Linked DNA regions of Coturnix japonica. The protein of the gene in region 1 interacts with the protein of each later gene in a pairwise test. Links are inferred from orthologs where the notes say so. Each region holds a gene or a part of one and is shown on either strand. Other genes may lie near its edges.

Region 1 (15,893 bases):
TGGCAAGATTTCAGTCTGCCTCTCCTCGTGACTGAAATTCCAGTGCTGTTAACTGTTGAAATTGTATAATCATAAAACCATAGAATGGCTTCAGTTGGAAGGGACCATAAAACCACCTGTTGCCAACCCAGTTGTCTTGAGCGGTGTTGTCATACAATAGAGCACCCCTCCAACCTGGCTTTGAATGCTTCCAGGGATGGGGTGTCCACAACTTCTCTGGGCAGCCTATTCCAGGGCCTAACCACCCTCTGAGTAAAACTTTTCTTCCTATAAACACTTCAACATCTTTCTAATGAATATAAAGTCCTGGCATAACACCGCCAAGTCGATAGATACAGACTTTTCAGGACCTCAGTGTTTAAGATGTCATAACTTTTTTTTTTTCCATTTTGTTCAATAGTGACAATATGTTAAGTGGCATTTGGCGTTGTTATGGATCCTGCAGTACACATTGCTTTCTTTCTTTTTTCCCCCCTGCAGTTCTGACGGAGAAAATGGAACAAGTGAAAGAAGAAAGCCAGGAAAATCACCTGCTGGTTTGCTGCAGACCGCTAACAATGAAGTGGAGCATTTTGATGATGGGAAGAAAGTTGATTTTGCAAGGTAATGGTCAGGAACATTGATAGGTTTCTGCTAATGAAAAAAAATTCAGAATGGTTAACAATCCACTCAAGAAATTGAGAAATCATTGAGAAATGAGATTTATTGGATGACTCAGTTGTGGGTTAACTTGCACCCTAAGCAAGTAAGAGGAGAGCAGAGCCTACATCCAGAGCCTGCACTGTCAGGTTCAATTTGTTATAGAAACTGAAGTAGTAATTAAAAAAGAAAACAAAACACGTGAAGGACAAATTATGCATTCCTTTCACTTTCAACTGGGCAGACAGTGCAAAAGTCAACCTGGCAATGTGGTTTTGGTCACAGGGCAGGTAATTGCAAAGCAGCACTTAATTTTTTTGAGACGTCTTTGAAGAAATACGTAATAACTTGTTATGTAAAACTTACATTTTGACACTTCAGAATTTCATTTCCTAGTCATAGAATTTATTTTCCTAGTCATCCTCAGGGATTTTCCTCTGTACTCTTTCTAATTCAGAATTGTTTGGTTTTTCTTATGCATTTGGTTGTTTGGTTTTTTTTTGTTGTTGTTGTTCTTTTCTTTCAGCTTAAATTGCTAAGGGTGTAACAGGTACAACAACTTCCTTTAAAACAGGCACTTATCGTTCTTTTTCATTTATTGAAAACTTCACTTCCAGAATTGCTGTCTGCCTCATTGATTTCCATGCACTACAGTGTTTGCAGCCACAAGTAAAGTGCGTAGTGTTTCTTACATTGCCTGGAAACAAACAAACATGGAGCTAGGCACTATGATAATCCCTTAAACCGATAAAAATGCTTAGAACTTTATTTCCCTTACAACTAGTGGTTTAAAGTATTCCTCATAAGTTAAAAATAGGCCATTATGGAGGACTGGCCTAATTCAAGACTGAGACAGACTCCTATGCATTGCTATTTAGTATTTGAAAAATCAGATAGTTATTATTGAAAGATTAATGTGTTTCACAGAAAAATATGTCCTGTTGATAACAGAGGTTAAGCATCTTACGTGGCATGTTTTGTTTTGTTGTGCTGTTTTTTTATTATTTTCAGGACAAAGAGCAGTACAGAAGGTCCACTTCTGACAGTGGAAAGCAAGAATGATTCCAAGATTGAAAGGAAAAAACATATCTCAAATCAGGTATGGAGAAGATGGACTTTTTTTTGTTGATGAGTGATAAGAGCAAATACAGAACTGGAAGAACACCCTTGTTTACTAGTATTCTAATTCCTGGTTGGATAAGGATGTAGGTTCCTTTATTCATCTTAGATCAAGACAACAACTTAACAGGCATATAACAAAAATGACAATTTACTGTAAGACAAATGGGTAAAAGGAGAAGAAAACGGGAGTGCAGGAAGTGGTATGAGTATTGTAAGAATATCTAACAAGGCATGTGTCTTTGGCGGTGGGCCTTTTTGTTTTTTAGCTGAAGGCAAATGCACACTTTCATAAGCTGTTTCTGGATGTTTCCATTGATGAACCACTAAAACAAAGTAAGTATAAAGACTCTTGTTGTTGCTGACTGTGGGTCAAAATACTGTTAACATCTGCCAACTCTGGCAGCATATATAAAGCAGTACCCAAATTTTATAAAGCTTTAACTCCAGCTGCCTGGAGCTGCAAGGCCTTTGTTTGCATGCAGGGGTGTTTCTGCTACAGTCTTGTAAAACTTACATTTCTTTATTCTTCATGCATTTAGCATCTTTTGGTATTATAGCTCACTTTGTATTTCTTAACAAAGCAACCTAGTTCAGTGTTTCTGTAGCTTGTCTAAAACTTCGCAGGAATCTAGGTGGTACTCTGTCCAAAGAGTTTTGGCTTCTGGGACTCTGCTGCATATTACACTTTTCAGTCTTTATTCTTCATATATTTTGATTTAAAGTAAAGCTTGTGAAATCTTCTCTGTACTTGTAAAACTTTTTCAGGATATCAAGGTGTAGAGTCACAGGATCATGTGAGTTGGGAGGGACCATTAAAGGTCACCTAGTTCAAATGCCCTGCAATGATCAGGGATGATTTGACAGTGTTTATCAAATGGTATCTATCCAAACAGGTAATGGGAAAAAAAAAAAAAAAAAAAAAAGAAAAAAGAAAAGAAAAGAAAAGAAAAAAAAACCCAAAAAGCAAAAGAAATGTGAATGTGTGTTGTGTGTAAAATTACAGAATATCACTTTATCCCAGGTTTTACCTGTGCTCTCCAGAAAGAAATTCTTTACCAAGGAAAGCTCTTCCTTTCTGAAAACTGGATTTGCTTCCATTCCAAGGTTTTTGGTAAAGACACTAAGGTTAGTGCAATCATTTCTACTTAATAGTAGTGCCGTTCCTTAGAAATCTAGTCATCACTTGAAATTTGCTTTATTATGCAAGGCTAGAAAACTTCTAATACCTTCAAGTGTTACTGAATAGAATGACTATGTCCAAAAGTCTCTCTAGAACAGAAGTGCTATTTCTGTTAAAGGCCCAGTCTTTGCTTTAATGATTTCCTGTCTGAAGAAAAAAAAATATTTAAGAACTTGACATGGAATTACAAAGGCTGCCAAACCCACACAGCAGTAACTGTACAAAAGTGGCTCTCTTGGGTTACCTTTGGAAAAGAGGGGAAGGTGGCAGGATGAAAAGTATAAGGACTAGTTGGGGAAAGGGTGGGAAGGATCGAGCACACTCATTAACAGTCAGTTAAATAAAAAACCTCCAACTTTCTTCAGAGTGGAGCTGCATGCCTGAGGGGATTCTTCTATCTCTTCCTTCTGTTCTACATGAACAGAGAAACTCTGCTAGGTTTACACTTGTGAACCTAGTGTAAAGAACAGAAATGGGACATGAACAGCTGGGGCGGTCCTAATTACTCTTTTCTTAGTACAGACATGACCTGCATAAGGTTGTATCCCCTGCTGATGAATAATTTGCATGTAGATAAAATTACACTGGGCCCAAAAATATGCATGATCTATTTTTGTTGATTTGGAAGTTTTGGGGTCTTTGTCAAAATAAACTCTTCTCTGTCTTTGACCTGTTACTGTGAAAAAGCATGATATGTGGTAAGGATTTGTTTGGCTTCTTTCTGTAGTATTTCATTGAGTTAATTGCTTGTTAGATTAAGACCCCTTCTCAGTGAATCAGATGCTGAAACCGCTTTAGAGAGTTCACATTATCTTATTTCTTTGCTGACAGCTGTTGTGATGGAGCACAATGTATCTTCGACAGGGACCTTAAGAATGTAGAGTATGTTTAAAAAAAAAATGATTAATATTATTAGCCACACATTACTAAGACTGGCTCTGTAACTTGCTACATATTAGGCCAAGGAACTGGACTATTGTTTCCTAGATGATGGATTATATTAATAAAGTATTGGTAGTATGTTAATACATATGGTGTTGGTGTGCATGTCAGTGAAAGCCAAATAAATAAAAATTAATGAAGGATTGGATACCATCATTTAAGTTCATAGCATCTGTCCCATCAGGTAGTCTCAATAAAATTGAAGTTACTGTCTGTGTCCTGTGCAGCACAAATGAATGTGCATGGGCCTACTCCAAACTGTGGGACAGCTTTCAAATATTTAATGCTTGATTCAGTCACATATAGCAGACATAGATTTTTAGACATATCATCAATGAAACAACAGAGAAACTGGGCATATAATGAAGACTCATGTAATAGTGGAGGAGAAAATCAGGCCTGACACAGGCTTTGAAACAATTCAAATTTAGTCATAACCCAACTGCTGAGAGAAGTAGCAGGTCTACATATTCTATTAAGTTTATCATGCCAAGTTCTTCTACACACAGATTTTTTTCTATTGAGGCCTTTGGTGGGTGAAATAGTCATGGAAGGAGATTTGAATATGCAATGTAAACACTCTGTGTGTTCAGAAATAAAAGAATCCTTCTGCAGGACTTAGCAGGCTTTGAAAGACTTTGCAGTCCTTCCAGGTTGTTCTATTTTGGTTATATGTGTTGACCTGCAGTCTTTTCTTCATCATCCTAGTTGCTTTTCAAGATGCCTGCATATGAACTTGTTTCCTGAAATAATTATTACTCCAGATAGATAGAAATAGAACACTTGCAGTGATTTTCCCATTTTAATCTAATGCTTAGGTAAGAGTGCAGCAAGCAAGTACTTAATCCCACTTAAGTATTCTTTAGTCTTGATTACAGTAATGTTATCCATCAAAATTGCATGCAGCAGAATGCCATTAACATCTCTTACTTGAAGTTCTTTGAGGTGGGCTGAACCAATTAGAAAACCTCTAAGCCACATTTGCAATTTGCAGGATTTCTGCTGAAAAATCTTTGGGAGTGGTAGGTTTCATTTATTTTGGTGCTGTCATTTATTTTGGTGGTGGCAATGGTTGTTACGGTTGTTGTTGGTTTCTCTCAGCAATGCAAATTGTATTCTGACTACATGACAGTTCTGCTTTGTTTTGTTTGGTTTTGTCTTCCTGTCAAACAAGCATCATATCTCCTCCCTTCTTTCCACTCAAGAAGCAGCCTTTTTTGAACAGAAGTGTTATAAAATCTTTCTGGATCAAGAAAACATTCAGTTCAGGAAAAGTACAGTAGAGGATCTACTTAATTAACCTATTTTCAAAAGACTTGACCTCTAAAGCTGAGCAAACAGAATAAATAATCAATAGAAAATAGAATAATCAGCAGAAAAAAATGAGTCCAGATTTGCAGATTCTTAGACACAGGCTTAGGCCTATGAATAATATAATGTTACAGGTGTTGGCTTTTGTTGTGGTTGGCTTTTTTCTCTTTTTTCTGGCCTGCGGATGACAGAGGAATGGCTCGCCATGCTTAAACAGTGGCTGATTATCTTGCATCCAGATGAAACACATTTCAGATGAAGCCAAAAAACATATATATATATATATTTTCATTTAATGGCTTGGTATTGCTTTGCATTTATTATTCTGAACAAACATTAATAAAGTTTTATGAACTTGCACAGGGAGTCTTTACTCTCCTGCATTAATGTGTTTTTAGTTCCGTGCTCTGATCACTCAGCACTCAATCTATGGTCACTTTTAGTTCTGAATTTCTCAGGCTATCGAGACAAAGGTATCCGCAGCAGAAGCTGTAGCCTATCCATGTGTATCTTGTATAATTTTATTTGCCTAACTTTGTAAGCTTTTCAACTGCAAGTCAAACCAGCCATTCAGTCCTTTGTAATACAAGATTTACAGAAAGATCCCATGCAGAATATTATAACTGAAATACTCTGAATATGGCATAGCACCGCACATATTACCAATGGAGTTGGATAAAAGCACAAAGCAGGATGGAAATTTGGGAACTTTTCAATGTAAATGTAGGTAGTTTAGATGGCAGACACAGGAATCAGTATAAGTGAGTCAGAAAGCATGTGGGTATTGGATCTTTCAGTGATACTGGTCGACAAGCTGTTTTACTCGGCTGTTCCATGCAAATGAAAGGATCTATAGGTGGCGAAAAGAGCTATATGTTTATTCTTCAGTACGCTGTTGTCTGATTTTTGTTCCTAAGCAAAATGCCTAGCTTGAAGAATACTTTCTTCTGCAGATCTACAGTGAACAAAGCTTCTGGTCTTTTAAGTACATCTGATGAAAACAGAACTAAAAATAATTAAGAAATAGTATTAATCTGAAAAAGTACCTGTTCAATATGAATTGTTAGCAAGCAGGGACATAGAGGAGAAATCCTCACGTGGAGAGCACTGAAAGTATGGCTTATTACAGTTGGTAGGCTGGCTGATTATGAAACAGCATGCAGATTTGTATGCATGTACTGGGACTAATACTGCAATGGTCTTGTTGTAGATCAGCATACCTGTGCTCTCAGTGACACTTCTGAAGAAAACCAAGACTGCCCTTCTTGTGCCAAATGCTCTGATCATAGCAACAGTCACAGACAGAGTAAGTACACAGAGCACAATGCTGTTGTACCCTGCCTGCTTTCTTTTTCATTTTTCAACATCTTTTGTCCTCTCTACTTACTGGCACTCATATCATGAGAGATTCTTGAAGGTGGTTATTTAAGTAGGTAGAGGAATTGGTCACATGTAGTCGTTTAGATTTGGGATCCCAGTGGGTCTGGTTTCTTACCAGATAATTTGAGCTACTTCTGCCTCCTCAGGTGTCAAACAAGGGCTATGTAGAACTTGATGAGAAAATAAGAAATGGAACCTCTTGTTACTAGGTGTTGCCTGTAAACTATCATTCCTCATTCTTCAAGACTTCTGTGTAGTGGCACTTATGGATCAGAAACAAATGGGTCTGGAAGTGCATGCAGGGAGGGTTATCTGCCTTGCTGGCAGCTCTTTACAATGTTCTGACCTTTTCTTGGGTCTCTTATCAGCAATACCGTAGATGCAGCAAAATGCAGTTTCGCCCTACAGTCTCAGTAGTAATTGCATCAATCATTAGAAAATGTGATTATGCCAAGAGCAGCTTTAGAAGAAACCCCTTTTCTCTGCAGAAATGTTTTTTGGATTTGGGCAACTAATTTATTATTTTACCATGGAGAGTTTTTAAGACAAACAAACCAACAAATAAACATAATAGATCTGGACCATGTTGTAATTTTATGTGCCTGTTCTGTGTTCCCTGTGATTAACCTCAGGTCTCAGCCTCAGAAGGAGGGGAGGTTTTCCTTGCTACATGAAGGTTCTGGAAAGTAGGAGGTTTTGCTGATCAGATCACTGTCAGTTTTAGTGAGGTGAAAGGAAGCTTGTACTGTGTGTCTTTTCTCAGATGATTTTGGAACTTTTGTTTTTCAGTATATGTTCGTCTCCTTACTCTCCAGAGATACAACCTACAAGCTACTAAAATCTATATGTAGACATCTTGAGGTAAGTACGAATGGGAATGAAGAAATGCAGCTTTATGTTCATCGTTACTGTTTTCCCACTTCTAAGTGCTGGGCAATTGCTAGGAGTGTTTCTTGTTAAAGGTACTGCATTATTTTTTCAGGATACAAGTATGGGCAACAGTCCCAATCCATCTTCTGTTGAAAACAGCTTCAGGTCTGATCGTCCTACAACTCTGTCCCTGGTAAACAGCTTCAATATTTGCTCTTTTGTTGCGCTGCTCTGTGCATTGCCAATCCTACCTATAATGTCTGAAGGAAGGAGACCAAAGAAAATCATGATATCTGTTAGGAAAAATTCCATGAACTTCTTAACATTAAGAAGCAGTGAGTATGGTTAGCATAGGTATAGTTTGATCTAAGTAGATATATACAATGTATGTCTTATATACATTACAAGGTATGTATGCCCTACATATTTCTTTTGCTGTGAGATTTCACAGTTCTCTGTACTTAGCAGTTGGTTGCTTCCTCTGACATTAACTATTTTCAGTGTTTCTTGTTACAATCCTTGCACTGTGAGCCAATTCAAGCAGCCGAAAGAGCTGTTTCTCCACATGTGATGACCAGATTCTAACTCTAGAAATGACTTTTCAGGACTGTTTGTTTAGCAGTCTTCCTTTTACAGGCATAGTTAATGTCTTCACTTAAACTAAGGCAGGGAATGAGTCTTAAATTCAGGTGGTTGCAAGTGGTTTGCTTATTTTGCTAACCCAGTCTCAACATCTTGATATCAAAGGTTATTTCTGGTCCCAGTTTTAAACATGTAATTATTAGTTCAGTTTCTACAGGGAATTCAGAGGAAATAAGGTTAATTAGACTTGCTGTGACTGTTTCCCCATCAGGATTTCAACGAAGACTATTCTGATCTGGATGGAATAGTACAGGAGCAGAGACAAGAGATGGAGGAGTCCAGCAGCACAGGCTCACAGACCCCGGAGCTAGAACGCTTCCAAGGTGAGTGGGGTCGTGGAGCTCCAAGAGGATGCGAACAGATTAGCTCTCAGTTTTGCTTCTGTAATTCCTTCTGCTGTAGAGGTAGATCTGTGTTCTCCACAATCCTGCAGGCTGGTTACGTTTGGTCTTCCTCCAAGTTGCCAAAGCTGAATTTCCCTTGTTATATTGCTTTGCAGTCCAGAATTAAACAATGCCTTTTCAGCATCAGGCTTGATTTATCTCTACTGACTCCAACTGCATTCACCATCTATTTCATGTACTTATCAATTGTGCTGTCAAAGATATAGCTGAGCAAATGTTCATGTTTCCTTCCTCTTCTTCTTTCCCCTTCCCTGATCCTTCTCCTTCCCCCTTCTTTTTCATTTTTAATTATAAATAAATAAATAAATAAATAAACTATTGTAAAATAGCTCAAGTTATAAAGAAATGTCTTCTAATCGGCGCAAGTAAATGTTTGTACTGTGCTGGATTTTAGTAATCAAGACTATTTCTTAACATGACTTTGTGTTTCTGGTTTATAAACCTTAATTCTATTCTTTCTGGTCATCTGTTCATTCTTAACTCTACTATTTGTAGTATCATACTCTTCAAGTTTTTCACCTTGTTAGCAGGAACACTGTGTGGAAACACAGTGCACATAAGTTGATAAATATGGCGAGACTCATTTTATGAAGGGTATCTATGTAGGTTATTTAAAGTATTCTAGGGTGTTAGTCTGCTATGCAGTTACTATATATTAACGTATTCATATGTTGCTGTTCTGTTATTTTTCTGGTTCTGTCTGAACACTGACCTTGAACAATGAGAAACCTTTACTTTGAAATGAAAGATTACAGATACAAAATATATATAACAATTTTCAGTAAGCCTAGTTTTAGTTAACTCTTCATTTCTCATATGTCTCTTTTGTTTAGTGGTATGGTTTGGGGTTGTTTAATTTGATATTTACTGTGTGTGTATGTTTTTAATTGTTAGACTAACTCAAGCTACAAATGTTTTCCTTTGACCCCATATTTCAGCTTTATTAAAAATCTTTCTTTTGACAGATTATCATGTTGTTGAGACACAGACTCACTTGAAAGTTTCAAAGACTGAAACAAAGTCTGTCCGCTCTGATGCACGCAGTAAATGGGTGCCTGAAGGGAAAGCCAGAAACTGCATTCGAAATGGTAGGAAATTAAGGGCAGATCCTCAGCTGAAGTTAGTTGGGACAAATTCATGTAGTTATGTCAGTTGACATAATATGGAAGATTTCTTTCTTGTCTGTCTCTCAGTTTATATTATCTGTTGCATGCTTCAAAATGCCATTGTGTCTGGTGTTTCCTGATCAAAATAACACGTGTTCTTTCCCTAGCAGGTCATTCTGAACCTTTCGGATTCTTCCACAAAGTTAAGTTCCAGAAGCTCTTATCTCTGAACCACATACTTATATTTTATGCAGTTCTGTAAGTAACCAATTGATATCAAGATTCTTGAGATTCTCAGACTTTTTAAATGTAGATTAATATTATCTCAGCTTTGCTTGAAAAAGTGGAAATTGATTAGAATTTTGGCCTTTATATCTTTTCAGAACTAGAAATGCCAGGACAGACCTATTTAACAGGCCTTTTACTTCTAAAAGCAAAGGGTTTTTTGGTTCAGGAGTTGTTGAAGAGTTTAACTGCTTGCACTTAGCAGAGCCACACTCAAGGTTCAGACTTTCAGAACTATCTGAATGCCACCAGTACCTGTGCAGCATGATGATTTAAATGTCTTTTAGTGTTGCATTTGTGAGGTATGTCTGATATTCCCACATCCATATAAACATAGCTGATATATCTTTTTTTTTTTTCTTCCTCTTACAGTGTCTGTGTTTTAATATTTTCTACCTTCTACATGAGATATAAAATCAATGTCCTGGAAGAACGTCTTATCTCCATTGCATCTTTTGATTCACATGTTAAGGAGTAAGATGGACTCTATAACCCTTTCAATTAAGAAAAAAAGAAATTACTTCTCCAGTATCTCATAATAATCCAGTCTTTTCAGAAACTTCTATGTTACTGCTGTGCCCTCATGAAACTTAATGTAGTTCTTTTTGTCTGCACAAGCCTCATCTCACAGGTTTCCTTTCAAGACTTTTAATGCAAGCATGTTGCATGGTGTAATATTGCTTTCCGGATATTTCAGATAACTCTGATAATAGCAGTAATGTAAACTGCTGAAATGAGCTTCTTTCCAGATAATGATTCTGTGAGAAAGCTATGACTTTGGTCTTAGTGTCACTTCATTAACCTACAATGACAGGTGGTATTTTGCAATCTGCTTCTGACTTACTTTTAGGGTGTTTTATGGAGCTTTGAGCTTCTTTGAGCGGGTCATATGGGTGTCCTCAGAGAACTTAGGACAGAAGGGAGTTCAGCTGGATGCTGAAAGTACAAAGAGTTTATTTAGTATTAAATTTGGATTAACTCTTCTCTCGCTCTTATGACTTGATTTCTCTGAGCTCCCCTGGAAAACATGACATAATCATTTTGAAACCTCTCTGCAAATTCTGCTGTGACACAGCACAGTTAGTGATGCACTGCCTGAAAAAGGGGACAGCTGTACCCAGGTGGAATGGAGCTCTCTGCAGAGTGTTTCAGACTTGGTCGTATTGTTGTCCTGAACAATGACTGTGCTGCATAGGCTCCACAGGACACAGCTGGAAGCAGCATGAGTTGCATGCGTGACTAAGCCAGGCTCTTAAGAGGAAAGAAAAGGAAATGGTGATTTATCTTAAACAGGCTTGCAGCTGTATTTTACCAATACAATGGGGAGAAGGGTAAACTTACTTAATAGTAGGCAATATTAAAAGCCATTTTCCCCACTTTTTACTTATTTCAATTAACAGGATCATCTGAAGCACTCTTGCACAGAAAGATCCTGTTTTCTGTTGTTCTGATCCTAAAGCAGGGATACAGGATGACCTGATGTGCACTTGTATTGTGTCAAAGGGCTGCGCTTTTTGGTTTTCTCTAAGTCACAAGACACAGAACTTATGCAGCTCTTCAGCTTATTTCAAACTGGAAAACTTGACAGCTATTTCCTCTAAGCTTCTGGGGAGTGAAACAACGTAAGGAATGTAGCCAGAAGTACAGAAGTGACTCAGGGCTTTGTTTCTGTAAACAAGTACAGTTCACAGTGTTACCATTCAAACTGTTCGTATCTGAATGTGTCTTTCAGCTCTGCTTTCCATTTTCTCATTTCCACCTCACGAAATTCTTCATTCTGTTTGACAGACATCCAGTGCACCAACGTTTGGAGTCTCACCTGCAAATTAATGCTGATGCCTTCTGTGACGAGTTAACTGCTAATCTTATGAAATTGGAAAAGGTAACTTTGTAGGATGTGATGCAAAATCTGGTAACACTCATTGGGTTCTGCCTGAATGTCTTGCATGTTTTACTGGAGGGTGCACTTTTTGGGGGGCTGTAAGCTAGCTAGTGTATTCATATTCTCCACCTGGAAACACAGCAAAAGGCAGCCGGATTCTGGAGCATTCAGCTGTTCGCAGATAAGTGACTCTTGGTCCTGAATTAGAGTCTTAAGTCATGCACTTATTTCATTTAGTGTCTACAGAACTGAACCCTTGTCACTGCAAAACAGTCCAGACTGCCAACTGCTTCTCAGTCAAGTTAAATGAGTACTGCATGTAGCTGATGCAGCCGGTAGTTGGAACATTGTTTGGCTCTACTGCAAAACTGGCTGAAATCTACTAAATCATATGCTCAAGTTACTGCAGTTGTTGAACTGCTTTGTGCTCGGTGAGAAGTGCTGGTGATTGACTTCAGCTGGCTTCAATAGCAAAACTAATGCAAAAGTTTCAGTGCAAATAGTCATCTCTTCCCCCCTTCTTGTGGGGCTGCAGCATTATAAACTACTTCACAGAAACTACCTAGGTTAAAAATGAAAAATCACACTTCCAGTTTGTAAATGTTCAGTGCTAAAGTATGCTAAAGCTGTCTTGGAAGGTAATTTTCCACTGTGGCTAAAGCTTCTGTGGCTGCTAACCTGCTAGTTACTAAGATACTGTGATCACACGTGCCTGGGGATGTGTCCCGCTGCATTCCTCTCTCTCTACTGTTAAGAAGATGGAGAACAGATAAAGCAGCTGTTTAAAGCAGGGCTGTGCCAATCATGCTGAAGATGTGACTGCTTTAAATTGCCTTCAGTGTATCTGAGGGAATATAATCAATAGTGCATGGGCATAGGGGCTTGTGACTGGAAGACCTTATTCTGCTGCATACATAAGCCTCTGCAGCTGAAGCTGATCTAAAACTATTCAAATGACTGAAACTTAGAAGCTGTGACTTCTATGTCCAAAGCCTCGTACTGTGTTTTGATTGAGTTCAAAATTTTGAATGTATTGAAAATTTCTTTCTAGCTCTAGTTTTGTTCTCCTATCTCCTATCTGATGAAGAAGAGAACCCATGGGAGGTTGCAGGAGATACCTGTAAGCGATATCAGCTTGGTTTCAGTTGCTCAGCTAAGCATTCTGCTGACTGATCATATCTAGATGCTTCCTTTGACTCCTGTCATTTAATATGAATACTCTCAATACAAAAAGCACTGGTAAAAATAGCTGTGACAGAACTAACAAGCACACAGAGAATATACTGAAGAATGTCTTGATTTTCTTAAGAATGTAGGATAACGCTTTCTGTTTCCCAATCATTTTTGTCTCTTTTTCTAAGATACAGAATAACTTACAAAAACTGCTTGAAGATGGTGAATGAAATGTTTGTGCTCTTGGACTGCTTCAGACTTCATTCATCCCGCTTGACAAACAGATCCAAAGGAGCTCTGCTGGACAGAGTTCAAGCTTCTTTATTTTCAGTCCAAGCCAAGGTTAAACTGCTGATGCTCATGTCACAACACAGAAAGTCATTTTATTGTTCAACAGCTACATTTGTGTGCATGTTTTCAAAATAAGGGGTTTTTTTTTGTTTTGTTTTGTTTCCCTTCTTTGTTCTGTGTGAAGTAATTAATGGATTTTACAGTTTGTTTGATTTTCCTTGCACCAGTGCAAACCTGATGCAACTCCTTTTACCTCAGCCTTTCTTTTCTGCCTCTTTTCATGTACTTGTAAATAAGAAATTCAGGCACAATTCGTATGCTGGCGTGTTGTGTGAATGACCTGGTGTGTCTCACAACCGTGGCTATGGATCAGGGCTGTGCTTTTTTCATTCTATCCTATCATCCCAAAGATTAAAACCAAACACCTCTGGGTTTGATTCTGTGGAGTGCTGAATGTTTGATGTCTGCTCGGGCTCTCAGGTGCTGCAAAAAGGCTCAATTCCATGCTCTGTGGCACTGTATCTCTGCTGAGCATAAAGTCCATTTCTACTGGGGATTCATCGTACATCAAAGTCAAGCTTGAAATATGTGTGAACTTGCCAACTCAGCATTAAGTTGCTTGTGAATAACATTATGGGCATGACATGTCTGTCCGGAAAACCAGCTGTTTTTCCTGCCAGCTCATTAAGTCTCTGTCCTTTAAGTTAATTTATCAGTGTGGAGATCTCAGCTAGCTTTCCTTAGACCTGCATGGAGTCTTGGTTGGCTAAGAAAGTATATTTCATATTCCGGTTTATATAAGTCTAGTCCTGATATGGAACAGATATTTCCACATAATAGAAATTACTGAAATTATTTTTATTGCCATGTTGTTAAACTGAAAGAAAAGGTGGACGTCTGCTTTGTTATATCACAGTATTTTTTCACCTTACCTAATGGGATAACTCTTTTGGATTTTTTTTTAGCTTTCTGATTCACAGAGCAGGGTGGTTCATCTGAAAAAGCAATATTTAGGTTAACGACCACTTGTATATGCAATATAACTGTTTATATATGCTCTGCATTTTATAACCATTTCTGTGAAATGTACCTTACTTTGTTTAAATAAACTTTTTTGAAACAAGCAACTCAGTGCTGTGACTTAGGAGGAAGTTTTTCACACAAGGTGGTGACGCACTGGAACAGGTTGCCCAAGGAGGCTGTGGATGCCCCATCCCTGCAGGCATTCAAGGCCAGGCTGGATGTGGCTCTGGGCAGCCTGGGCTGGTGGTTGGTGACCCTGCACATAGCAGGGGGTTGGAACTGGATGAGCACTGTAGTCCTTTTCAACCCAGGCCATTCCATGATTCTGTGATTTGTATCATGCTACTTCCATCCATCAGTTTTAGTCTAACATGATCCTCATGATCTGAGTAGATTTACTCTTCACAGTGCAAAGTATGTGTAGAACTCTGGTTATAAATCTGTAAGATCTCTTCTGTCTGTTTCAACATAGAGGCTGTGGTTCTATTTATGGTGCACTGAAAATTGAGGTCACAAGTCACTTCTGTCAAAGGAGTGCTTAGGTAATTTAATTACACCCATCAGCTGGTCTGAATTAGCTTATTGCTCGTGCTTTGCTCTATAAAAAAATGAGAGAGTATTACATAAAGCAGACAGGCTAAGCCTGTAGGCAGGCTTATCACCAGCCGTAAGCAAACAGAATGATTGTAGAGGTGAAAGAGTAATCCAAGGTAGGGGCTGCCCTTCAGCCTGTATGGCTGCATGCCAGGGGAGGTGAGTCTGGACAAAGGTGTGCAAGCAGTGTCTCATAGGGGGAAGAAGCAAACTGCAGTCCAGTGGAAGAAGCAGCAGTTAGAGCTTTTGAGTCTGGTCATCTCAGCTCACCAGGTCTTTGTATGTGGCAGCCTTTCCTTAGTTCTTCAGTTTGTAACCTCACTCCTTATTTTCCTACATGTGAAGTTTGCTCTGCAAGGAAAGCCAATGTTAGAGGCCCTTCACAGCAGAACACAAAGGGCAGCAGCTTGATTAGCGTTTGCAAAGAATACAAATGGTTTCATGTGTGTGTGATTGATTTCAGTACCGTCACTGCTTTCAGCTGACTGTGCATGCAGTTACGAAGTGATGCTCCCAGTTTCCTTTTACACCTGCACTTTCGCTTCCAGACTTACAAGCTAACAGTCAGCTGATCAACACTAAATAAACCTCTGGGCTGGTGCTTTCCAGGCCTTTGAAGGTGGTGTCTCAGCTGGTTCACCTGCAGCTGCCTGTGGGCTGCTATGGCAAAGGATACGTGAGGTTTTGCCTTGACAGAGCAGGTGTGACGTGCAATGAATGTGATGAAAAAGCTGGCTATTTATGCACTAAAAATTAATGCTAATATGCCTATCATCATAAATATTCCCACCCAAAATACAGACCTTTCAGGGATAAATACATACTTTTTTTCTATTTTGACCTTCTTTTATTGACCCTCAGGTTTCCAATGAGAAGCATGGAATCACACAGTTGTTTAGGTTGGAATGACTCTTGAGATCATCAAGCCTGACCATCACCCAACACTACCAAATCCCATCAATAAAGCACATTTCAAACTCACCGATGAGCCATATCCCAAAGTGCCATATCTACAGGGGTAGATAGCAGGGGTGAGGGCTGCACCATTT
Region 2 (11,656 bases), on another chromosome or scaffold:
AGTTTTGCACCATTCTTGTGTGCAGATGAGCATGTAAGATGAAAGTGTTCTAAACTGCTGAATGCAAAAGAAGCCTCTAAAAAGCAAAAAAAAAAACCACCTGAATCCAGTCAAGATGAATGACCATATTTCTCAGATGATCCTATGGAGGGAAGGAAGCTACTATTTCTTAAGTAGTAAGAGCAAAGAGGAGTAAAAACACCACTGGTAGGCTGGAATCAGCCTTATCATTAAGCACATGGACAAGATAACAGCTGTGAGGTTACAGGTGATACAAAACCCAACTGCACATTTGCCTCCACCAACAGTGGAAAACTTGTTCATCCAAAGTTACAAAACTAATCCTCCACACGCTTGGATGTCGTTCCTGGATGTGAAATAAGCAGTGCTTAAAGGTAATGAAAAAGAAGCCTACAGACCAACCTTCTGAAAATTGTATTTTATTAAATATACAAAAAGCACTTCCATAGAAAAATTGCACCTTCATCTCCCATGTGCTAATGCTGGTTAGTTTCCTGCATCATGAAGATACATAGAAACAAATTTCCTTTGGTATGGGGAATACAGGCATAATTCAGCTTCAAAATGCATTCACTGAAGACATTATTTTTGTACCAAATTATGTTTACTTACAGAAGGAAAAACACATTGGTAGAGCACATCTGGAAGCCAAACTAGCTACCTAGAGAGACAAGGTTGCCTCTAAACTCAAGAACTATTTACAGAAACAAAACCTGTAAGCTTGAGCCATTGCAGCACTACAGGAAGCTGTTATAACACGATATAAAGCTCAAAATTCAAGCTACTACATCTATGAAATCTAATCAGGCAAAAATGTGTTCATTATTTAATTTCATAGAGGTCTTATTTTTAAAATTAAAGGCGAGTGACCTCTGAGTATCTCCTCAAATAAGGGCAATTCAGTGTTTTTAATAGAGCTGTAGCATTTTGGGTGCTTAACCAAGAACATCTTCACAGACCCTTTTAAAAGTTGAGGAAAGTCACTGCTTTTCTGACATATCTTCCTTGCCTCAAACCACTACTAACCTGGCCACTTGAGATTCCAAGCTACTTTCAAAACCCCCAGCTCAAAAGCATAAATGTTACTGAAGTATTGTGTCAAAAGTCGCTTCTCCTTTAATTCACTTTCAAGTAGTTTAGCCAAAGTAGTACACATGATTGTATGAGTGAGAAAAAGTAGCAGGAGGGATTGTCAGAGGCAGGTACACACACGCATTTCCTACGGATTCCACATCAGTCCATGTGATGAAGCTGGTACTTTGTCCATAATATATAAGGTGCCCCACCTGCCAATGAGAATTTGCCAGTTTTCAGATCAGGGTGAATTAGTAAGAGGTGAAAGACAGATGGTACTTTTACACTGACTTATAATGAATACAGATGCTCCCAAATGTTTTTGTTTTCTTTTTTCCTGAACTCGGTGTCACTGAATTCCTACAAGCAGCATTCTATTGTAATCTTTATCACAGACAATACGTTTATCAACAGCCACACTCAAGACCCCTCCCCAAATCTTGGCTCACGCTGCTGAAGCACAATGTACTGTAAGCAATGTAACCAAAACAGAAATGCACATAAAAAGCTTCTAAACGGGATTTAGTGCAGAACCTGAGTACCTCTTTCTCACTGATGCTTCTTTGGTGGAATACGGGATTTTGCGACCACAATTGGAACTACAGAGAGCAATCCGATCAGCAAAGCCCAGAGAGGGCGGTAGAAGAGCCAGCCAACGGAGATGGTCAGAAGTGACAGTGAGCTGGCCATGCAGAAGGCAAAAGCTTTCAATCCGATGTTAACCAGATCTCGAACAACAGGAAACCAGTCCACTGTGGAAAGAATTAAACAAGGGATAAAAGAGTTGATCATCATTTATTTACAAGGACTCCTTATTATGCCTGGGATTCACACAAACTATGGCGATCAAGAGGCAGACTCAAGTTATTATAAGGGCAATGGAAAAGGCATTTCAGGAGAGCATCCTCAAGGCATTTGATAAATAAGTCACATCTGAACATCTAAGACAACAGCATCCTCATCTCTTTAGATAAGAAGTCATGCAAAATTAAGTCTGAAGTCTTATCCAAGGCTTATGAGGCATCACAGACTCCTTCTGGCCTTCAAATAAATTCATTTCACATGTAAGCAACATAGAATCATAAACCGTACAGCATCCTATTTCTAAATTCATTTTAGCTTTCTGTCACCAACCTACCCAAAGTGTAAACAATCCGGGTCATTAGGCTGATGCCTACAAACATTGCCAGCCAGCCTGCTGCACGGAGGGCCCAGGTCTTCATGGTGTTACTTTCATGCTCCTTCTGAAACACCTCCTGAAAGCAAGAAACAGGCTGCATGTAATGATACTTAAGTTCTCTTGAGATCCAGCTCTTTCCAGTACAATATAGGAGCAAGTCAGAGTCAACAGTAGAAGATACATTGCAGCTCATTCCTCAGGGCCTTTCTTTTACATCAATAGCCAAGCACATTACACAAGATTTCAAAGTGCAGCAAAAAGGAAAGCTGCATTTATTTAAATAAAGACAGCAAAACACGCACCCTCAGGCACTCTCTGTAACCCCAATCAGAAAGCACAGAGTTTCAGTGCTCTTTATTGTGGAAAATAAGACTGCAGTAAGTACACATAACATGAAGGAAACACCTGATTTTGTTATGTTTGCAGCAAGACAGAACAGGCAATAAGATCCACTGATGGCTGAAGGAAAGGTGCATGAAAGAAAACAAGCAGTGTGTAGGAAAGCAAAGATAAAAAGGTATGTGTACATTTTTTAAAGCACTAAAAGCACCTATTTGCAAAAATGCCCCTTTTCCTCTATAAAAAAATTCACATACAGATGGCTAAGAAATAAGAAAACACAGGAAAGATAGAAAAATGTCTGATTGACAACTTGTATGGCTGAGGACTCTATAATTTATTCACTCTTAGCTCATTTCCAATTAACTAAAATTCTAATTAATGAAGATTAAGAGCTCACAGCAGAGAGCTGCTTCTACTGCTGCTCCCTTTCAACTTGGGGAAAAAAAAAGAAAAAAAGCCTTTTTGTCTGCTGTTGGCAGATACTGTAAATTCCTGACATCTGGAACTTCTACAGCAGGGCACAAAGGAATCATTAATGGAAATCAACCTACTAAGAGGAGTCAATGAATCACTAAATTGCCTGAGCATGCAGGATTTATTGGAGCATTATGCACTGCCTGAAGGCTCTTTCTCAGTCAGAGTAGCAGTAAACATTTCAAACAAGCCTAAACTCTCTGTTAAGAGAGGCTGAAGAATGGATAGCTCCTATGATTTGTCTAATTAAAGCCTGATTTTTACTGTTTTTGTGTATAACCTTTTCAAAAGCGTATGTTTGTGTATAAGTGGGAGGCTACCAAAAATCAAATCAAGCCAAAATGAGAAGGCACAGGAACAGTTCTTAGAGCAAATGATAGTCACCAGCAGCCACACAAGCTGACTTATTTTTTAATACAGTTACTTTAGCTGTAGCTACCTCTAAAAAGGGAAAGAAGAACAGAAGTAACTATAGCCAAATTATATACTGCTAACAGGTGAAGTACAGCTTTTTGCAGCAACACAAAAACATGAAGAAACTGGGAAGGAAAAAACAGGCTATAATGCTTTGACCTAGATATAGCACAGAGAAAAGCCAAAGTTTACATCTCCTCCTCTGCAACAGGCTTGAAGGAGAATTAAAGCTTATTCCATGTCTGCTTCTGCACTACGATCTGCAGTTTCAACCCTTTACTGGCATGGTGTGATCTCTTACCTCTACAGAGAGATCCCCAGAGTAGAGAATCTGAAGAACATCTCCAGACTTGGTGTGATATGGAACGAGTTGATCGCCTTTCTGCCGAGCAATCACAGTTACCTTGGAAGAAAGGCAAAGAATGTTAGTGGTTACTGAGTTGGGGACAGAGCTCGGATAACACAAATAGCTGAAGATCTACCTTATCAGGTGAGCCCAAGTGGGGGTCATGTCCACTCAGACCAGCATAGAAGAATGAGACACGAAGGTCTCCCACCTACAAATAAGAAGAATATTGGAAATCAGAGAAAGATTTCTTTACAAAGGAGAATCACAGGAAAGAAAACTCTTCATAGGAACACTTCTTGTATCATCACTTGTCTTGAACATTCGTGGCAAGACAGAGGATACCATGTAAGATAGCCAGGCTGCATTTTTTCTGGGCCTAGTTGATAGCCAAAACAAGACAGCTAAGATGTTTCTTTGCAATATTCTTTCTGATTTAGCTGCAGGAACATATTAACATCAAATAGATCCTACACTCATCCTTGCAATTTTATTTTTTGGCAAAGAAAGGCAGCACTAACTAGCAACAAACTTTGTACTCAGTAAGGCAGAAGTAGAAACCACCTCCCACATCATCCAATGTTGTTCCATCTAAAATCAAGGCAAACAAAAAAAAAAGAAATAAAAACAGAAAATGAAGGTGCAAGCAGGATCAGAAGCTTCCAGCAAGGAGTCACTCTTATTAATGGTCCTGTCCTATGTGATGCTCTGCACTCCAATTTTTACATGTTTAAAAAGAAATGGGACATACCCCAGCTTTCTTTTTTCACACAACAGTAATTGCTGCTTTGGTTTTATCTTTCTCATCTTACTTCTGGACGCCTGGGGTTCTCGCTGTGGTAAAAATAATCTCCTCCCCGGGTAACATCAGCATGTGGATCCTCAAGGTGTGCCAAGCTCAGCTGCTTGAAGTCATCAATCTTATCCACAAGGCCTAAGCAGAACAAAGAACCAAGCTCAGGTTTGGTGTTGAACAGACATTTTGCAGGCTGGCTTCCTGATTATCACTTGTAACAATCACCATTGCAGAAATAAGTGAAGTTTGCAGCTCTACTGGAATAAACAATGCAAAGTCAGTACAGAGTAATTCTTACCTTTGGAAAGGACAAAGCTGCCAACCTGGACATTAGGAGAAACAGCAGTAAAGGACTCCACAGCCATGGCACTGGGGAACAGACAGAGCTCCTGATTAGTTCCACAATTATGATCAAACTACTGCTTTACAGTATTTAATATAAAGCACAGTTCTAAGCTTCATTCAAGTCATGTTTGGGGTTGTTGGTTTGTGGGGTTTTTTTGCCAAATGGTTTCCTGCATCCTTAGGAACCAAACATGTGCTGTAAGAACGACAAGCAAGCTAAAACTTAGCACTAAAAGTGGTACACTGTAGCATAATTAAAATGCTGTAGGTGAGAGAAATACAGAACGGATTATATGTGGGCAATTGCTATAAATAAGCCTGAGCTCATACACGCTGCCTTAGAAGAACAGCATGCAAGTGGTATGGCAAGCTTGTGGGATGCTTGCTATTCTCATTCTATTTTTAACAGAAGAACTAGCAACAGACTAATAAAAGTAAAAAAGAAACCCATTCAGTTCTCCCATACACAATCCACATGGTCCAACTGTAAAATAGCAGCCTGATGTAGAGCCATTACTAATAAGCAGTATTCCATCAGGAATGTTGGATTCTGGCTCCATTAGGCAGCTTTGAACCGCTGTTTCATTTAATTTCTCTCAACTACAAAGAGACAAAGAGTTTCTATCCACTTTGCTACACCATGAAGATTTGTCATTGAGTTCTCATCATCAATCAGATTCACTGACAGAACCCAGAGGGACTGTGCTAGGTGGTAAATTACCTGGGATTTTTGTGTCCTATTTCTCGATCAAAATTCCTGCTGTTCACAACTTCGGATTTCCATTCAGTATCTAAGGAAAATGATATGAACATTGAGAAGAGAGCAACAACTGCCACTCAGATCTTAGTTACCGATGACACCTCTAAATCAATGAATCAGTTCAAATTACACTCATTTTTTATTTTTTTTTTAAATCAAGGTACACAATGGGATAGTCTATAATGATACTTAAATCTGACCTCCTAATATATTAACAATGAGTGGAGGGACTAAGAAAAAAAAGACCTTAGGGATAAAACTGTAACTCAGCATTGCATGGTAGAAGGTTTGCTGTTAGCATCTTCCCTGATCAGGCTTTAATTCCTGGCTCCTCTCTTTGGGAGCAAGCAAGGAAAAGCTTAGAGTTCTGCCAGAGCTAGCAGATTTCAGTGTAGTCAAGTAAGACAGAAAAGATACCTGTACATGCCACTGTCACATAGCACTGCCTCGATTCAGGCCACAGCATCCTCTCCACACCCCCAGAGCACATTCCTTATAGGTACAAGTAGCTTTTTTGCAACTCATACAAAACTAGAGTCCCTTTTTTTGAGCAGTCTCTGTACTAAATACATGCTCTATGCCTCCAGGGAGGAGAAGAGAGAAAGGAAGAGAGTTTGGCTAAACACTGGAGTGGGGATCACTGTAAAGGATATTCTAGTGTACCAGGTTTACGTGTCAAGATTTTTGTAGCTTTGGGGAGGGCTGCAGGGGTGGAAGAAGCATGAGAAGCAAGAGTAGCGGGGAGACTGTAAACCCACACCCACACTGCTTCCTGCCTCACTTAAGACATCAAGTGCAACCTGAAGCAGTAACAAGGGCAGTGATGTCCAGATTGACTCTGAGCCTGGAAAATAGCGGAAGTAACTGTGTTTTGCTACTAACCAAATCACTAATTAAGTATTTAATTTTGTTGACAATAGGTACATGGTAATATACAGACTTCAACTGGACACCATTTCTGAGAGCATAGCTTTTTTTTGGATCTTTTCTTTAACAGCTGTTCCTCATATCTCACGCCCACCACTAGCTTTGCTCCTTTGCTGTCTCTGTGCTGCACAGTCTCATGCTTCACTGAACTGGAGTATTCTTATTATCACACCCAGAAATCACTGCACACCTACATTACATGGGCTTTAGTTGTGAATAAATGAAGCACAGAGAATAAGCTCCAGAGATACAATGACTCAGAGTATTTTTCCACCATCAGGTAGATTAGAACTATCCTCCCAGTTCTCCTCCTGCCAAAAAAGCATTTGCCAAACGCCACAACACATATCAGAAGGTGCTGGAGGTTTTCATTAGTTCATGTGAACACTAAAACTCTCAACATGCTGCCATCTGGCTTAGCAAAATAACTTTTACTTATTTATTTATATAGTTTTCTTTCCCAAGGAAAAAAAAATAGATGTTTTTTTCAAGAAAATCAAGATAGATATATAGGAAAGCCCAAAGTTTCACACATAAAAACAAAAGGATTTTCTGCAGATCAACTTACTATACGAGTACTTTGTCTCTTTCTTGATCTCACCATTTTCTTCATACTCCCTGCAAAGAAAAAGAGTGAAGCAAGAAGCAAAATAGCACACACACAAACCAGCTCAATACAGAATGCACGTTTCAACTGACCCTGTTAATAAAACACTCCTATAAACAACTTTTAAAGACCTGTTTCACTCACCTGGAATCTTCATATTCAACCCACTGGTACATTTCCACTTTGCGCTTAAGCTTGACAGCCTGGACGGACAGCCCATAGCTGGGATCAAACAAAGGCTATTTGAAATACAAAGAAAACACAAGTCAGTAGGAATTAGTGAGGCATCTGTGAGCATTTCAACACTCCAATCCCTCCAAACTTGAAATTCTCCCATATCCAAGATGTTAGCTTTACTTACCTTTGCTGTGCTCAGAACGCCTGCTAAGTGCACCAGACTCCCCTCATTTTGTTGAGATACCCTGTGAATGTTGTCAAGAGGGATCACAAGAGAAAGTCCCTCATCAAGAGATTTAGCTGTCCTCAAAGCTCGTCCCTGTAGTCACGAAAAGCAAAATCAAGCTGTGGAGAATCAATGGCATATCATTATCTTATGAAAATAGTAGAAGACAAGTGATCTGCAGAGCCCAAGGACTTCTCAAGACATTCATCCTCAAGGCATAATCTGAAAACACACTTGTAATTCACCATTCTCCTCCAAGTCTAAAACCAAAACAAAGTAACGAGAGTAATTAACACCCTCACTTTTGCAACACTGAATGAGTTCCTATAACAAAATCCTAACAGCACTAGAAATGAATTCCCTATGTTATCTCAAGATAGAGACAGAAGAACTGAACGTGGCTGGCTCGTTCGGCTTCTTTCTATAGCACTACAGCCTCTTTCACCGGGAGCTCATAGGTTTGGGATCTTTTTCCTCACCATACACAGACACTGTTTCTATTACACACCGTTCCACAGCAAGAACATCTATGACTCTGTGATTTCATTCTTACATCCCAAGAATAAGCATCAGCCTCACCCGACACGCTGCCTTCTTTACACTGATGAAGCAATAAAACTACAGCATGACCATTTCCTTGACCCTATACATACAAAACTAGTTGAATGCCACCTTGGCCAACCATTTTAAAGCTGTATATAAACTCTTGATAGTACTTCACTTACTTCATTGGTAAAAAGAAGGTAGAAGGACAGAAGAAATGTCCCAAGTCCTATAAGCATGCCTCCAGAAGTCTCGCTGAGCCTCTCCAGGAACCCTGGCTTGGCCTCGCTGGTGATTTTGACATGTTCTTTTTTGCTTCCTGTGTCAGAAAACTGTTGGAGGTAAACCAGAAATGTAATATTGGTATAAAAGCAGATGGTCTGTTTCAAAAGGAGCTCTTTACCTTTGCTAAATTGCTTAACCACTGCTAAACGGCACTGCTTGCATTGGAGCTGAACCTTCCCACACTTATTAAATCACAGAATCACAGAATGACCCGGGTTGGAAGGGACCTCAAGGATCATGTAGTTCCAACCCCCTAAATGCCTTGTCCCAATTTTGATACCAGAAATACAGCCAGTAAATAGACCTTAACTAAGAAAAACAATGCCTATAGCATTGGCAAAGCACATCCCTTCACACATCCTTCAGCCTGTCTCTACGTTCCCTATTTGGTATCCACACCCAGCGACAAACTGAGTAATACTCCCAAATTCCAGACTAGCTACAGCACAGCTATAAATACCACAATGCAATCCCACAGCACACCCTGCCATAACTGCACCTTGGGGGACTAGAAGAGCTCTCAGAACAAACTTCTGCTGCTATGCTGAGCATTGCCACATTAGAACACCAACAACACAGGGTGTGAGGAGCACCACAGCTCTGTGCTGTGGGTAATACCCAAGCAGCAATAGCGGGTAGAGAGGGGAGGAGGCGAGGCCCCTCTGGAGGAGCCAAGCGGGATCTGACAGCTATTGGGATCCCCCACAGGAGCTTATCACTTACATTCCTCGACATCTTCGGCCTCTTTCCCTCACAAACCAGAGAATCCACCAACGACAACCGCTCAGCAGCAGCCGCGCCCACCTCGATGTGAGGGCGTATGCTTCCTGGTGTTAGAGTTCAGTGTGTGTTCTTCCGGAGGTCAGCGGGCACAGCGTGGAGCTGCGGCGGTGTTGGAGGAGGAGGGGAAGGACGCGGAGCCGGTCTGCGATCGCACTGAGTGTGAAAGGCAGCGGGCGGCTCCGCCATGTCCTACTGCAGGCAAGAAGGTGGGTGCCTGCGTCCTCACAATGTCACCCTGAGGCGCGGGGGCGGCGCCGCTCGAAGGGTGGAGGGGAGGCCGCGGGTTGTGTGGGTGTGGGGCACCACACGTTTCATTTCTAACCTGGGGGATGCATTTATCTTTCCCCCTTTGTGGATTGTGATTTATCTTTCCTCCCTTGGTGTGGAGTTTCATGCTGCAAAGAATGTCCTGAGTGCTGCTTTGAAAGGATAAACTCGTCACTCTGGATAGTGATTATATACTGTGATAACTTCTGGTTCTCTTTGCCTTATTATTATTAACTCACTTTATTGATATCTTGTATTTTTACCAGCTCTGTCCATTGCCTTATGGCATCCTACAAAATGAATGATAGCTGCAGTTATAGTTCATGTTATAGTTGTGGTGATGGGGTTATAGTTATACTTCATGCTAGCAGTGATGATATTTCATCCACTTCTAGTTCATTTCATGTATGAAATCCCAGCTGTTCTGCACTGTAAAGTTGGCTGGAATGCCACACGGCTGACAATAGTTTCCCTTTTTGAAAGAATCCAGGTTTATCTGCTTTTCACACCTAGTGTTCAAGACCAGGTTGGATGGGACCCTGGGCAACCTCATCTAGTAAAGGTGTATGTTTGGTGGCCCTGCCAGGCAGGGGGGTTGGAACTACATGATCCTTGAGGTCCCTTCCAACCTGGGTCATTCTGTGATTCTGTGAGACTGAATGCAAAGAAAGGGAATTACTGAACGTTTTCTGGTAGAGGTCATGCTGAAGGACAAGAAGATGCTAATTCATAACGTGCTTTGTCATTGCAGTGGCCTTTCTGAATTTGGAGCTGAAGTCTTTGGGGTGCTCATTCCAGTCTGTGAATGCTGTGTTATACATTCAGAAAAGCTTCAGTTAGATGTTCTCTTCTGCCTGTATCTGCCTTAAAGCAGTTTTCTACAACCTTACAGAGTTGTTGGGAAACTTTGCCCTGGTTGCCAGCCAAGCCTGTTTTTTTTTTCCCCCTTCATAACTACTTTGTTAAATCAAGAGTGACACAAGAGCAGGAAGTACGCTCTGTTTTTCTGCCCTTGTTAATGTTTGCAGCACCTTTCAACACAGGCTGCTCTAGACCGTTAAAGTGCTCTTTAGTATTTAATTCACATAATAATTATAGACTATGACATGACTCTGTAATGGAGGCTGCTGATCTTAATTAATATCCTGCTGAATGCTTTCTGTAGCACAGGAGAGTTTTTCCTTTCACTTTTGGTCCATTTCCATCCAGCCTCTTTAGCTGAATTTGTTCTCCCAAGAGAGCAGTAGTTTCAGATGGTTTCAAAACAGCTCTTTAACTTTGCAATCCAGTGAACTGTACAGTGATTTACAGCTGTTACAGTACTTTGCTGTGAAAAGCAGAACTCTAGAGCGAAAGGATTTGGTAGTTTCTATATATTCTAACATGTAAATGGGTAATGAGTATTACTTATGTAATGAGTGCTTTAAAAGAGGACTTCCCAAACTGTTTTATGTTCACCTCATCCTCACTTCCTTCCTGTATAACATAATAATTAGTTTCTTCTACAAGGTGCTGTGACTTTAATAATTAGTTTCTTTTACCCACGTGGGATTTGTGGCTTCATATTCAGTGGCAGTGTTGCTTAAGGTACTTCATTTTGGGTTGCTTGCACCCAGCTCCTGTCACTGTGCTGTGCTGATCCCTGACTCGGTTAAAGAGGGGAAGGAGCGGAGAAGGTGGTGTTAAAAAGCAAGTTCTCTGTGACATCTGTTAAATGCTGCCTCAGCTTGGAAATAGTGTGCAGTCCTTTACTGCTTCCGTGAGTCCTGTATGCTGATTATGGTCTCCTTTAGAAACAAATACCTGTCTTATCACATCTCTCTTCAGTGCAGTCTCTGTAGGCATCTATTTGCATTGCATAACTGTGCCATATGCAAATATTTATTGTAAATCTCTAGTGGGTTATGACTTTTTCAGTTCTTATTGAATATTGAGAATAACTTCCTACGGTTACATGGGTGTGGTACAAAGACAATGGGTTCAGTTCTATTCTCTGTTCTAGATAAATTACTACTCATCTTTTCAAGCGTAGGTTGATTTTCTCCTAGGCCTTATTTCCAGTTCTTTTATAACTTTCAGTACCTTCCCT

Evidence for each region.
Region 2: the proteins of GRAMD2B (region 1) and TMEM43 interact in binary tests that used the Homo sapiens proteins (3 or more experiments, as listed by UniProt). The two-hybrid records come from large-scale screens. The link is inferred for Coturnix japonica from reciprocal best matches to the Homo sapiens genes GRAMD2B and TMEM43.

Annotation. Positions count from the first base shown.
Region 1 is NC_029547.1:65,140,315-65,156,207, reverse strand, and holds the end of GRAMD2B (GRAM domain-containing protein 2B), read left to right. Parts: intron 1-480; coding exon 481-603; intron 604-1,650; coding exon 1,651-1,738; intron 1,739-2,027; coding exon 2,028-2,094; intron 2,095-2,782; coding exon 2,783-2,886; intron 2,887-6,404; coding exon 6,405-6,500; intron 6,501-7,363; coding exon 7,364-7,435; intron 7,436-7,556; coding exon 7,557-7,637; intron 7,638-8,297; coding exon 8,298-8,409; intron 8,410-9,455; coding exon 9,456-9,578; intron 9,579-9,763; coding exon 9,764-9,854; intron 9,855-10,253; coding exon 10,254-10,355; intron 10,356-11,669; coding exon 11,670-11,763; intron 11,764-13,124; coding exon 13,125-13,166; 3' UTR 13,167-14,354; downstream 14,355-15,893.
Region 2 is NC_029527.1:8,346,246-8,357,901, reverse strand, and holds TMEM43 (transmembrane protein 43), read right to left. Parts: upstream 9,349-11,656; 5' UTR 9,253-9,348; coding exon 9,241-9,252; intron 8,565-9,240; coding exon 8,415-8,564; intron 7,783-8,414; coding exon 7,648-7,782; intron 7,526-7,647; coding exon 7,431-7,525; intron 7,298-7,430; coding exon 7,248-7,297; intron 5,784-7,247; coding exon 5,714-5,783; intron 5,017-5,713; coding exon 4,946-5,016; intron 4,786-4,945; coding exon 4,664-4,785; intron 4,063-4,663; coding exon 3,988-4,062; intron 3,909-3,987; coding exon 3,807-3,908; intron 2,352-3,806; coding exon 2,234-2,351; intron 1,848-2,233; coding exon 1,645-1,847; 3' UTR 1,612-1,644; intron 1,308-1,611; 3' UTR 425-1,307; downstream 1-424. Other genes in the region: CHCHD4 (mitochondrial intermembrane space import and assembly protein 40), read left to right, coding at 9,485-9,506. UniProt on the Homo sapiens protein: May have an important role in maintaining nuclear envelope structure by organizing protein complexes at the inner nuclear membrane. Required for retaining emerin at the inner nuclear membrane.